Linked DNA regions of Nothobranchius furzeri. The protein of the gene in region 1 purifies or fractionates together with the protein of each later gene. This does not show direct contact. Links are inferred from orthologs where the notes say so. Each region holds a gene or a part of one and is shown on either strand. Other genes may lie near its edges. The genes, in order: wdr19 and ift122.

Region 1 (7,107 bases):
ACATTTAATAAAACTTCCCTATTCTGGCAAGCTGTGTGTATCAGGTCTGTTTCTTCTCTAGAATAATGAAAACTGTTGAAAAATAGGTCTAAATCATAATCAGCTATAACTTAATTTTTGATTGAATGATATACATCTAATCTGATGATGAGAGATGTGCTCTAACTTGTAAACAGCCTAAACCTATTTCCAACTCAGGAACATTGCTAGGCTGAGTCCCATTCTGTCCCGCTCTGAACTTGAGACAGTTCTCCACACCTTCATCTCCTCACGCTTAGACTACTGCAACTCTCTTTTCACATGTCTGAGCAGAACCTCCCTGAACCGTCTACAGGTGGTTCAGAATGCCTGTGCTCGGCTTCTGACCAAGTCCTCCAAACACACCCACATCACCCCGCTTCTCCTCCAGCTTCACTGGCTGCCAGTCAACTTCAGGGTTCATTTCAAGATCCTGGTTCTGGTCTATAGGGCCTTACATGGACAAGCACCATCTTACATTGGTGATCTTCTCAGTCCCTAAACCCCCAGCAGGTCCCTGAGGTCCAGTGATCAAAGCCTACTGGTTGTGCAGCGCTCCAGGCTAAAGACCAAAGGTGACAGATCATTTGCTGCTGTGGCCCCCAGACTCTGGAACTCTCTCCCCCTGAGCCTGAGATCAGTGGACTCAGTGGTCTCCTTTAAAAAGCAGCTGAAGACTCACTTGTTCAAGCTGGTTTTGGTGTGACCTTCATCATCACTCTCTCTTTATTCTGCTTTCCCCACCTATTCTGCCTTCCTCAGGATCCACTAATTTCCCTCTTTCCTGTTCACTCTCTCTCTCTTTCTTAAAATTTTTTGATTCACAATTGCCTATTTTTGCTCATTTTAAATATATTTTTAAACATTTTCTAAATGCTTTTTTATATTTTTAAATTTTTTGCTTTTGTGAAGCGCCTCATGATTTTTATCTTGAGAGGCGCTATAGAAATGATACTTTCTGCTTCTTCTTCTAAAGCAGGATAGCTTAATAATAAAGTAATAAGATAACCCCAATAGAGCCAACAGATATAAAGTCAGTCTACAGTGTGATAAAATGCTACAAGAATTATTACAAGTTCACGTTTGATGTTTTTCAGGCTCTTTTATGAAAGAAACTGAACCTGGTTTGTTGCTAAACAGGAAAGGAAGTTTATTATAGCGATCAGTTCACATTTTCTTCAAAAAGCTCCTCAAGATCTGACTGTAAACATAAAAACCTGCAGCGAGAGAAAACTGTTTCCTCTTAAACGAAATAACCAATCGTAGAAGAGCCCTTCCAGCCAATCAGAGGCGAGAAAAGGCGGGACCTTCCTTGGATATCCTAGAATTCCAAATGACGCAGACGGGTCGCACTGAAAACGAAGTTTGTTTAACCCTCTAGTTAAGAACGACGTCTCCTGGGTTGTGTTTATTCCCACCAGAGGACCAGAAATGTGTTTTAGAAAACGGCTGTTTTCTTTAAAGGTGAAAATCTTGGTTTAGATATAAACGTGTTATCGTCAGGGACACGTGCTACATCACCACCAGCCAGGTGAATTGACGTAAATGACAAGTGGGAAGAAAGAAATCACTGAAAAAGTATTAAAACTCTGTCAATGTACCAGAATCACACTGTCAAATTAACTACAAGCAATGCTATTCTCTGTGAAAGGCACTTAGTAGGGCTATTGTAAGTCGAATTCTAATATAAATATCAGAATTATGGGGTTTGATGTGATCAAGTTTACGCATATACCTTCAGCAAGCATCTCTGCACAAGTTTTGCCAACCGCTTCGGTTCTGGCACAGTGCGACAGCCAACAAAAACAACATAAAACAAAACCTAAACGAGTGCCCTTGTATTTAAAAACATAAAAGAAATCGACGGACCTGTAAAGGAGAACACTGCGAACCGAGTCGAAGTCTTCCAAGTTCTTTGAAAATGAATTTCCATCAATAGAAAGATTAAACATCATTTGTGTCTCATGTCATCGCTGGCAGATATAGGTAACTGAGCAGTTGTAAATTAGGGTTTGAAAGCATCCAAGACCAAAGAGAATCTATCTCCTTCAGAAATGAACTTAGAAACTATTTGAATCGCTCCATGGAGTGTGAGCTGCCTTTCAGAGCCTCCCCCCAATTTCCCACGTCAATCTGTGAACCTTCTACACAGGGGCGGTTCTAGAGTGGGTGTAAAGTGGGCCAGAACCATCCTGACAACAAGCTTTGAGCCCCCTCTGTCCCTTTACCCACCCACCCACCCTGAGGGCAAAGCCTGAACAATAGTAAGTACAGATTTTTTGCGATAATTTTGCCTAATGCAAGATGTGGAACCAGCACATGTAAATGCTTTTTATCTGAAGCTGAAAAGATATTCCGAAACAAACACTTTCATGTTGTCACTGAGACAGAAAATTAAGATAAACACATGTTTTTGTCTTTGCAAAATAGTTAAATTTGAAGCCTCTAACAAATTTGCTTTTATTATATTGTCATGATTACACACAAAGAATTGAAACACTTATGGGCAATTACTTTCTTAAAAATGTGCCTCTCTAATTGAGCAGCTTACCCCTCACCTATTTTAGTCTTGAACAGTGGTACTCAATAGACGGCCCCTCTCAGGCCCCCAGACTACCAGTGTGGGCAGCAAGCAGGGAGGGTTAAGTGTCTTGCCCAAGGACAGTCCTCATGCTCATGGAAACCTGGGGCAGAGGAGCAGATGTCGAGTCTTTAGCACACCCAGGCAAAAAGAGTTGTGCAAAACTGCCATCTTATGGATTAATGATGGAAATACAATATTAAAACTCAGACGTCAAAATCTGTGAAATTTTCCATGCATCCTTAGATTTCTGACTGAAAACATTGACTCACAACATATTAGCATTTGTTTAAAAAACAATTTTTTGTAAATTTCATTAAATAAGGCAAATTTATACTTTACTATATCTTTCATTAAAATTAACCTGCTGTCACAAATTAGTGACACAGGTTTGGAATTATTCTATTACATTTTAATTAGCATCCTCGGTGCTTTCATTTTGAAATACGAACTCTGTATCTGCTGCCTCGTCTGCCTCTCAGAGGCCCCTCATTGGCTACCCCCCGTTGCCATGACATCTCCGCAGAAGACGCTTCAGAGTGAAGCATTGTGGGAAACAAACATCCCTAACGTCGAAAATGTTTTGAAAAGACGAAGGAGGTTTAGGTTGTGAGCTTTTAAAAGCCACTAAAATGAAGGTTGGTACAAAGGAGAACTTTAATACACACGTTTCTTTTGTTTTTGTGATTTCCAGGGTTGAATTGCCCTACACGAAACGGATTTAGCGAGTTTTTGGTATGCAGCTTCAAGCTAGCTCAGGCTACATTGGTTTTGTCGATAATTCCCAGTTGTTAGTTGTTGAGCTGACCAGAGAGAACATAACTGTATTTATAGGTGAATTATGATAGTACTTTAATGTTAGAGGCTAATGATAGCATTAGTTAGCTTATCGTGTCCGTTAAATGTGGCAGCATGGAAGCTTGATATGAACAATTTAGTTTTTTTTTTGTGTGATTTCTTTATATTTTGAACTGAAATTAAACAATAAATAGGGCAGAAAATTAGATAGAAAAGTACATTTAAAGAGAATGACGTGATATTATTTTTAAAGTGCGGATAAAGAAAGATAATCTCACTTTGTGGGTTTGATTAGTTATTTTCTTTATATTAAAGGCTGATTTAGAATCGATTTTTCTTCTATTTATCATAAGAATAGGGTTAAACAGCCAGAGCCCTACCTCATGCCCTTGAATTTATGACTGTTGTTTTTAGTTATCTGTATTCGTTTTTTACAATCTGTTTGTTTTTAATTATCTCATTCTTGGAAAACAAACTTTGATTTGTGTATTTATTTATGCACAGTTCAGTTCAAGGCCATGATTATTTTCCTTGTCAGGTTTAGATTTCCTGGTGTTTGTGTGAACATGATCCCGTTGCACGAATCAGTTTTGGCCAGGCTTTATTTATTAAATTTGTGACTTTGGTGTATGATTCACTCATGCAGCTGCAACACTAGAATGACTGTTTTCCCCTATAATGCCTTTAAACTTAGATTTAGTCACTTTTTGCTTCCAGAGTGTTTTCGTTCTTTCGGAAAAGGCTTGGGCAGGCTCTACTGTTCTTTACAAATGGCAGAAAAGCCTTGGAAACTACATTGCTGTTGCCGGGTGAGTAAACTGTTTCTTCTCTTAGTTCAAGATCATCATCAAAAGGGTGTTCATACATTTCAGTTGTTTCAAATCACACAGGCAGGATAACTCAGTGAAAATATTTGATCGACATGGACAGAAGTGGACTGAACTCAACCTCCCAGGGTGAGTGTAAGACGACTTGTAGGGGTTCACTTTGACCGCGTCAGCTGCTTCATATCTTTTGTCTCTCCTCACCTTTAGTCGCTGTGTGGGGATGGACTGGGACAAGGATGGCGACATTCTTGCAGTGATCGCTGCAAAATCCAGCTTAATCTACCTCTGGGATGCCAGTGTCAGTAAAATGTCACAAATAGACAGCGGGATGAGGTACAGCAGCCATGATGCAGAAAGTGAGGTAGGGAGAAAGTGTTACTCAGTTTTTAATAATCAGGATGTATTCTTCTTTTGCTGTTTTTGGTTTAAGCAAAGATCAGATGACCTTCATCCTGTGGTCTAAAGCTGGCCCTCTGTTAGCTGTTGGGACAGCAAAAGGAAACCTGCTGATCTACAACCAACAGACCTCACGCAAGATCCCCATACTGGGTAATAAACACACCGCAAACATTTATTTAATTATTTATTCATATTTACTTAATTTATAATGATCATTTGTCTTTACATTGCTACCGCAGGTAAACACACCAAGAAAATCACCTGTGGGTGCTGGAGTTCTCAGAATCTGCTGGCTCTGGGAAGTGATGACCACACTCTTAGCATTAGCAACCATGAAGGAGACACAGTCAGACAGGTAGTCACACCAACACTATATATGCGTGTAATTCATAATTTAAACAGACGTCACTACAGAATCACTTCTCCTCCAGCGTAGCTGCTACTTACCGCATGGCCAGGTTTAAAGTGGTTTCTCCATGTTTATTGCTCTTTTTGTCCTGGAAGAAGGTTTTGAAGCTCACTAAACTTACTTTGGTCTCTGTGTGGTTCGATGACGTCAATTTCTGTGAGACGAACATTTAGAGACCTGGATGTATTTTCACACCAAACCTAAAAGGCAAGGCAGCTTTATTTATATAGCACCTTACAACAGCATAAAACTGACCAAAAACAGAACTTTTGCCACCTGGTCTGTTGAAAATAAGCACATTCTTGGCATCAAAATGTGACTTTAAATTCACACATATCACATGTGAAATCCATTGCACAAATGAAACGACATCAGAAAATAACTTTTATCCTCTCATAGACTCCCGTTCTTTTTGTTTTGCTGTTGGGGACTCGTGATCTGGAAGTACATGGGCGTGACTTAGGCTCCCTATAGGCTTGAATCTGATGATACGATTCATATCAGTACAGGGGAGACGACATACTGCGATACCAGAAACAGGGCTGCAACAATGAATCAATAACAATCGATAAAAAATTAATTTGTCGTGAATTTGTTTGTGTCGTGCAACTTTTATGTAACAGTCAATGCACACAGCTCATAGGTGGCAGCAGAACAGACCGAGGCAGATCAGAACGAGAAAGAAAGCCGTTGTTTAGATGAGGAATGACAGGAAGACCTAAGAAAATTTTCTAAAGTTTGGGAGCACTTTAGATTAAACAATGCAAAGACATCTGTCACCTGCAACATATGTAAATCAGACGAGGCATGGCATGGGAGTTCGATGGTGATAATACAGCATCATCGCAAGCATATCTGAGCCATCAGCGAGGAAGGGGAGAGCTCGGTGTCTGGGTAAGTAGTGAGAAACTATGCCCTAGGCCCAGATTAATTAAAGTTGTAAACCAGGGCAGAACATATATTTCGCATGTGCGATGAAAATACACTCTGTGAGATAAACTATTTTTAGATGTACCCCACAAAAGAAATACAGTAACAGTTTGAATGTAAATTCTGAATAAAAATCGATATTCTGCTGTAGAAATATCAGTTCAGTATCATAACATGGAATATCACAATGTTTCAACGAATCATTATTATCTTGCATCTCGATTTCTATATATATGTGTTTGTGTGTGTGTGGCTTCACAATCTAACCCAGTCGGATAAGACAGTTAACCATTAATTAAGTTGCTGGGGCCTCATTTATCAAGCTTGCTTACGCACAAAACGGGGTTGGAAAACTGCGTAAGCAACTTTCCATGCAAACTTTGGGATTTATGAAAGAAAACTTAGCGGCAAAATGTGCGCAGCTTTAAGTTGACTGAGGACCTGGCTTACGCACATTTTGGACATGGAGAGCACCTGCAGTGCTGCTGCTGAGAAGGATACAATTATGAAATCCTGCAGCATTATCACTTGTACCGCTTCGTTTTCACACAGAACAAGACCCCACACATGCACACACATGCGCGCACACACTCACACACACACATGCACGCACACTCACACGCGCGCACGCACACACACACACAGCCTGAAGCGCAGAATACGGGATGCAGAATATCAGCAGGGGGACAGATTGAGACAGAATGTCATGCGTCTGTGACAGTGTGTGTCCTGTCACTGTGACCTGATTGATCATGCGCCCTGGCTACTTGGACAAGGGAGATCTCCATTTCGGTGACTGGTTAACGCATGACTTTCACCTGGGAGTCTGGGGATAAAATCCTGATTGGACCGTTTTTTTAATAACCGCCACAGATCTCTCTGAAGAATTCACAACATTGACGACTTCAGCAACGCTGTGCCACTCCGTGGATTTTCTCTTATTTATTTTGCAAAAGCACTTCCTTTCATTTCTCCACCTCACCCACAAGTACCTGAATTTCTGCTTGTGAAATAGCACTTCCTTGATCTGTGGTCGTGATCGAAATGCTGCAACAGCCGGCTTATGTATCTGCATTTACATCCACAAGGCACTTTGCATTGACCCTTTATGGCAGTAAGTGGGCGTGGTGAGGGCGGGATGTGAC
Region 2 (7,062 bases), on another chromosome or scaffold:
ACGGTCTAAGGGTGTCGGTGCAGCGTTAACACGCAAAGTGTCACAGGGGGAAAACTCTAGGAAGGAAAAGTAAAATCACAGAAAGAAGCACAGCAAAATTTAAAGTGAGAAGTTATAACCGTGGTTAAATGAACCCATTAACTACAATCATGTGCATCACTGCTGCATTAGAAAAAGAAGAGAGGAAGGTTTGACTTCAACCACTCAGAGTGGACAGACTACAAGTGAAATTTCTGAAGCAATCCAACTTATTTGCATCTGTAAAAGCTTAATCCCTAACTAGCGCCGAGCACAGAGCTCCTCTTATAGCCTGAGGTGTAATCAGAGGGTTATGTGCTCTCGTTCCCTCCAGCTCCTTCACAAACACAAAGGTTCAAACTGGAAGAGGAAAAGTTATTAACACTCAAGTTTTTCATGAATAAAAACCACAGCGATCACAAATCTATAGACGTTTTATTAACGGGACTTGTACAATATAAACAACAACTTATCGTAGTTAAACAGCTGTAAAAAAAATGAAAAAATGCACATAAATATTAGATCTTACTTGTTAAGAAGATCTGCAAAACAAGTTTAATTTTTACATCGTTTTAGGTCGTACACAAAGTTATGATGTACTCACAGCTTAAGGTAACCTAATCTTTTTAATCCTGTTGGATTGATGGTGCTTTCTAATGACCGAGACCTAAACAAACACTCATCTTTGGGTAACAGAGCTGCTCTTAAGAGGTTTACACACAACAAACATGCTCATTACTTTACATAAATGCAGAAAATAAAATACTAGCTTTCTCCAGGGTACAAAAAGTAAAGTGTCTCCCATGTAAAGAGGATCAGTTTGGCTCGTCGATGGGTCTGCGGCAGTAGGGACAGCAGCTGTGCTTCAGCACCAGGAGCTCATAGTCCTCACTGTGAAACATCTACAAGAGAACACAGAGAGGGAAGCATGGAAGCACGCTACAATAATCACATCTGAAAAGATAATCAAAATTAAAACATAGGTGAAGTTGAATTTTCACTAGAAGAGGAGTGTGTAAATGCTGCACCTTGAAGCAGCTGGGGCACATGGTGATGCTGACATCCGGCAGCAGGGAGCGGAAGTATTCCCATTTGAGTGGCTTGGGCCAGCGTTTGATCAGGACGTCCCTTCTGCTCATGGAGCCCAGCACCGAACGGCTCACCTTGACTGGGACAAAGGTAGAGCCCCCTTGCTGTTTGGACACACAAACACACCCTCTAACCAACTCCGTCCTTTCACCCTCTCCAGCTGGTTCGCCCAGCTGGCTGAATATTAATCACCTCATCTACTCCAGCCGTCCTTTTCCTACCTCAAAGCTCATTTTGGCTGTAAACGGATCTTCCTCCGTAACACCTAAACCATCAGCCATCCTCAAAGCTTGTAGTTCTGTTTGTGTAAATGAAGGACGAATAAATAACCAGTGCACATTATATAACTTAGCATCTTTTACGATGCAAGGATTTTGCAAAAACAGGAAATAGCCGGATCAAAATAACCCTCGAGAAACAATGCATTTAAAATCTGTTGCGCCTGTCAGTCATAGCGAGGCCCGGCAAGAACACAACACACCTCGGTGCCCTTGAGTGTCTGCCGGTTAATGCAGGTTAATCCCCGCACCAGGGCTGTGGCTACGGCTCTTTGAGGGTTAGTGTCATTAAGATGAGCCAGGAGAGCCTCCCTAACCCTATTAGCTCAAGAGCTAAGATGACTTACTTCTGACAGCTTACCCACAAGCACAGAATCAAGGCCAGTGCAGACTAAACAGCTTCTTAGAACTGTCACCAGACAGATGAGAGCCACATGCTTCAATTAGAAGAGATGTGCAGTTTGCCGGGGCACCAGCAGAGTAAGGACTTCATTTTTAATACAAATCAAGTCAGCAACCTGTTACTTGGTGTTAGTAGATGTTTGCGTGCGGAGTGACATTTAAAGGATACTGCTGTTGTCCTTAACGGGCCCCTGTGCGCTCCCCTGATCTAAGCGGGGAACCTCCAGGTCAATAAGAGACAGGGCTTCTTCGTCGCTGATACCCTGGTCCAGGTAAAACTGCACCAGAGGCAGCACCTCTGTGCAAAACAACAAGAATTCACTTACAGGCCTAGCATAAAAGCAAATGTCACCTTAGGATAATAGTTTAACTGTCACCGACCGTATGACGAGGCTGAGTAGATGAAAGGCTGCCTGCAGTTGATGCACACACTCCCCTGGTTGTTCAGAAAGGGGTTGTTGGTGGAGCAGCGGTAGCACATCATGATCTCAATGAGGTCCTGCAGGAAACACAGTGTGTTTGGCCTCCAGTAGACGACACAGAGGTCAGTGCTAGCACTTCAGAGCAGCTACCACACACATGCTCACCTCACTGTCATGGAAAGGCTTGGAGCGAATCTGGAGGCTGCCCAGTTCAATGGAGTCCAGGAAGCGTGAGGGAACGTGTAGCTCCTGGAGCTTCTCGTAGGAATACCTGGCAAGTTTAAACGCACCCAGTTTCTGACTCTGCTTGGTCAGAGCATACAAGGTGTTACTGATGAGCACGTCAAGGTTGGTAAAGTGAAATAAAATGGATTTAGGTAATTCTCTTAAAACACCTGCAGCAACGTTATCCGACTTGTTTACATTTTTCACAAGAAGACTGGTACACATTTGTAATTATAGAGAGAGAACAGCCTGTTGGGGGAGCAGCTCGGCGTGTGGTGAGTGGAGGTCAATGAGCTGCAGCTGCAGCATCTCTACATTGGTACTTTTCCATCACTTAAAACCCAACACCATTCCTCTCCTTTCCACTCAGCTGCTCTCCAGCTCCTCCTACACACCTACCTCTGAAACTCTCAATAAAGTCACATCCTCCTATTGTGCAGATTGGTTAGCTCATGGGTTATTTGTGACTTTGTCTCTAGCTGTTCAACCAACGTCCAACACAGTCCCAGCAAGTCCATTCATCTCACTTCAAAGCTTCTGGAACAGTTCGGCTTGGGCCACGGAGGACCCCAGCCGCTGAGGCCGGCCCCGTTTCCTCCTCCTTTCCTTCCTCATACCAGCACCCGTCCCGAGTGACTTCATAAACTTGTCTGTACGGTTGTGAGTGTGTTTGACTGTTTGTTTGTTCAAATTAAAACTCATTGTTCAATGTGTATGTACGCATAGCATTCAGCAATCAAAGAGCTTGTTTGGAAAACCAAAAATGGGCCTCTTGCTGGCATCGTCTCCTCCCCATCATCATCCCTTTTCTCTCTCCCGGCAGCAGCATGGCTGCCGCTGCGGCACCAACAGTTCCTACTTTTATCTTCTTTATTTCCGCTGCTTCTGCCAGTCTTGAAGTGAAGGTGCTGTGGTGCTTTCAGAAAAGGAGGTCCCATACTTGCTGTACACATCATGCTATGTGTGGTTTACCTTGTCGAGGTGAAGGATACACTTTAGAGATGCCTGGTGGTACGTCCTTGGTGAGGTTATTCAGTAGGAATCTGCATATGTTGAAGAGTGTCTCTGGCAAGTGGGAACTGAAGGGCTCATCCTAAAGATTAAAAGAAAAAAGAAAAATGACAGATTGAAGTGAAAGGGATTAAAAATTACCTAAATAACTGATAACTATTTTCTCAGGTCAATCCCATTTATATCTGCAATCTTTCAACATCCTCCACGTCTTATCCTTCCTCACGGTGCCACAGAAGAAAAAGAGAGAGGATTTTTTTCTAAAGTGTTCACTAAAAGCATTTCATCACTGAAGCTTATAGTCGAAATCTACAGCTCCCGTCTGGGAGAGTTAACGTGACATGTAGAGGTTTCCTGCTCTGGTCTGGATCAGAGCGATGCCTCCGTACTGTGAGGGTGACCACAGCGGAGCGAAGCGCTGAAACAACAAACCAGGAGCGCCGACACAGGCCAGGTCACCCGCAGAGCGCTCACAAGCGGGAATTTGTTGTTTGTAAGCGAGTGAGAGCTTGGAGCGGCGGTAGGAGAGAACCACTGATGAGGTTGTCATCTTGTTCCGTCAAGCAACTGGTTACTATGGCGACAGGGGTCAGGAGGGTTTCAGCAGTCTAACAATGGTGGCTCTTTCCAGCTGATATTTCCTTTAAGTGAACTGCGACCTGAACGTAATGCCCTCCATTCTGTCTTTTGTTCACTTTGCCTGACGCCCTCTGAGCTTATCTTAATTCCTCCTTAATCCCAACTCAGTCTGTGGATTGAGATAATCTTTCAGAGCCAAACCTATTCTGAATGTCAGAGTAAGTGGAGATCATAAGGTATGTTTGTTGTGTGTTTAAACCAAAACAGAAATTCAACCAGGTGCTGGTGACAGTTTCTAATCCAGCAGCAAACCCATTCCCTATGAAATGAGAAGGAAGCATTCACACAGTCATCCTCACCGTGTAGCGCTGAATAGATCGATACACGTAGTAAAGCTCAGCGAGATGCTGAAAACGTTCAAATTTCTTCAGATTTTCATCCCTCTGCTCCTCGCTTTCTGGTTTGGAGGAGAAGGCACAAGGATCAGAATGAGAAACATCACAATTCAAATTTAAAACAAGGTGCAGTTAATGACACGCGTCACCTCTGGCTATGTCCAAACACTGCATCGATAGCATCCAGTAATAGTAGCCAGCATCGTTGAACCTGTTCTCCACCACTGCATTGTGGGTGAGCTGCTCCAGGACTTTCACCGCTTCACTCTGACGACCAGCTTTGTGAAATGCTGAGGAGGAAAGAAAAGTTTAAAACTCTCATCTTGAGGTGATTTTGGACTAGAGGGTTCATTTAAGACGAGCAACACTTGTTTATATATCTGAGTCACCATACTGGTCAGAATGTTCAACGGTAATTCCCAGTTCCACACATCAGGAGGAAGACGACCCCCAGCTCCAGTTCAGATAGTAAAAACAAGCTAGCTTTAGCTTTAGACAGTGCTAACCTGTTTGAACATCGTTCTATACAACTGGGACAGCAGTAGCTCAAGAGGTAGAGCGGGTTGTCCAGAAGGTTGCAGGATCAATCCCGTCTCCTGCAAGAGAACGCTGCTGTTGTGTCCTTGGGCAAGATACTAAACCCACCTAGCCTGCTGATGGTGGTCGTGGGGACCGGTGGTGCCAGTGTTCCACAGTCTTGCTTCTCTCAATGCGCCACAGGGTAGCTGCAGCTGCATTGTAGCTCATCATCACCAGCGTGTGAATGTGTGGTTGACTGAATGTGTTGTGAAGCATCTTGGTGGGACGCAGTACAAAGAAGGCACTATACAAATTCATACCGGTTACCATAAGGGACACAGATTCCAATGAAAAAAAAAAAAAAACGCTGAAATGTTCTGGTTTTACGGCGTTTTCTACGGTACGACGTTTGTGTCCAAGGTTACAAATAAAGTTATACCACTGCTAGGGCTGGGCGATATGGTCTAAAATCAATATCACGATATATTGAGGATTTCGCCTCGATAACAGGCGATGACTACAGGTAACAAATGTTGTCCACTAGATGAGGCTGTCACATGTACTAAGGTGGTACAGCTTCTTAAAGTGACATGAACACTGCCAACCTACACAAACCTTTTCATTTTTTTTATTATCAGATTTATTGACATCAGAAAAATGATCACGATAAGAGTCAGAAATTTCGATAACAATAAATTTTCGATTTATTGCCCAGCCCTACCCACTGCTATCCTGAATAACCACCATCAGGCTTTTCCTTTACAACAGCAGTTTGTGAATACCAAACACCAAAGCCTGCTGGCTCCTAAGCCCAAATAAACATGAGCGCTATTCGTCATGTTCCTGTTATTGGGTAATTAGAAGCAGCTTTTGGGAGCCAACCCCAACAGTGACCCTGCCCCCACAATCTCAGCAGGGGTCAAAATGCATTAGTGGCAAACATGTATTAGTGAGCCTAACCGATGGGAAACCACATCCAGCTGTTGTTGGTTACGTTTAGCAAACACAACACTGTTAGCATCCTTCTCTTCAACACGTTTGATTTACTGTGAGCACAACGCAATAAACTAAACGGAAGTGCAACTATGATTTTCATGAAAACACAGTGTGTTTGTGTTGATGACGTTAGGTCAAATCGTCTTGGTGGACAGCTCAGGGACAAACTCGCAGCCTAATGTGGGGCATTTTGAGGATTACGTGCTCTTAACCGGCTCTAAAACATGTTCTTCTCCAGACCTGCACACTGCAACAGGGATCCAGTATTTCAGCGCATTCATCTGTCCAAAAAAAGTCTTCAAAACAAACAACCTGGAAATATAAAACTGTCAAAAATACCCATTTGACCCTTGACACTCCAGCACGTCCCTTTATAGGTTGAGTGCTCTTTGTTTTAGGCTCGCTAAACAAAACACTTCAACAGATTTCTGTAATGACAACTATTTCAAGGACATTTACTGAGGATCAGCAGAGCGGTGGACAGGAGACAGGCCACAATCTGGAACTTCACAATCACTTCTAATGCATTGCAGCTCGTCTCTGCCTAAAATGCACACAATCGACAAAATACATGGCTAAATAAGCAAACCCGAATACAATCAGGCTTGTCGAGTCCTGCATTGAGACAAGCAGAGGAAGATTATGTAGGGGAGGAAATATGCCTGCTGGGATTATAATTATAAATCTATGAGCTGATTATAACTATGGTTACAGTTGGTAATCATCATCAGAGCCGCTTGTAGCACTGGTGATTGGAAGCAAGCAAGCATGTCGTTCAGCCCAGCTCTGTCCTGCCCTGCTGCTGCAAAGAGGATCATGTTTTACAGGAGACATGGAAAAGTCCGTATCTGGGGCTAAACTTTATCGCTTCCACATGAAGACACTTGGCTGTTGAAGTGGACCGCGTTGAGTGACATAATCCTGTAAGGATGTGTTTGGTTTTAAAGCAGAACGTTGCATGCAGCGCTGACCTTTCTGCGCCTCCTCAAAGTGGTCGTTTTCAGCCAGCCACTGGGCGTAAGGCACAAAGACGTCATTCTTAAACTGGGGGTGCTTCTCCACCACCAAGAAGGCCTGGGACAGGTGGGAGAACAGAGCATACGTTAGATGGGATAGAGTCAGCGTCCA

The links.
Region 2: the proteins of wdr19 (region 1) and ift122 purify together in Homo sapiens (affinity purification with mass spectrometry; 4 studies listed by BioGRID and IntAct, counting the BioPlex papers as one, with this or other methods). This does not show direct contact. The link is inferred for Nothobranchius furzeri from reciprocal best matches to the Homo sapiens genes WDR19 and IFT122.

What each region holds. Positions count from the first base shown.
Region 1 is NC_091742.1:74,696,328-74,703,434, reverse strand, and holds the start of wdr19 (WD repeat-containing protein 19), read left to right. Parts: upstream 1-3,110; 5' UTR 3,111-3,231; coding exon 3,232-3,237; intron 3,238-4,114; coding exon 4,115-4,206; intron 4,207-4,287; coding exon 4,288-4,353; intron 4,354-4,431; coding exon 4,432-4,557; intron 4,558-4,654; coding exon 4,655-4,773; intron 4,774-4,862; coding exon 4,863-4,978; intron 4,979-7,107. UniProt on the Homo sapiens protein: As component of the IFT complex A (IFT-A), a complex required for retrograde ciliary transport and entry into cilia of G protein-coupled receptors (GPCRs), it is involved in cilia function and/or assembly.
Region 2 is NC_091755.1:54,410,084-54,417,145, reverse strand, and holds the end of ift122 (intraflagellar transport protein 122 homolog), read right to left. Parts: intron 7,009-7,062; coding exon 6,906-7,008; intron 4,710-6,905; coding exon 4,569-4,709; intron 4,482-4,568; coding exon 4,384-4,481; intron 3,528-4,383; coding exon 3,427-3,527; intron 2,541-3,426; coding exon 2,375-2,540; intron 2,287-2,374; coding exon 2,169-2,286; intron 2,086-2,168; coding exon 1,957-2,085; intron 1,406-1,956; coding exon 1,329-1,405; intron 1,212-1,328; coding exon 1,047-1,211; intron 921-1,046; coding exon 834-920; 3' UTR 695-833; downstream 1-694. UniProt on the Homo sapiens protein: As a component of the IFT complex A (IFT-A), a complex required for retrograde ciliary transport and entry into cilia of G protein-coupled receptors (GPCRs), it is required in ciliogenesis and ciliary protein trafficking.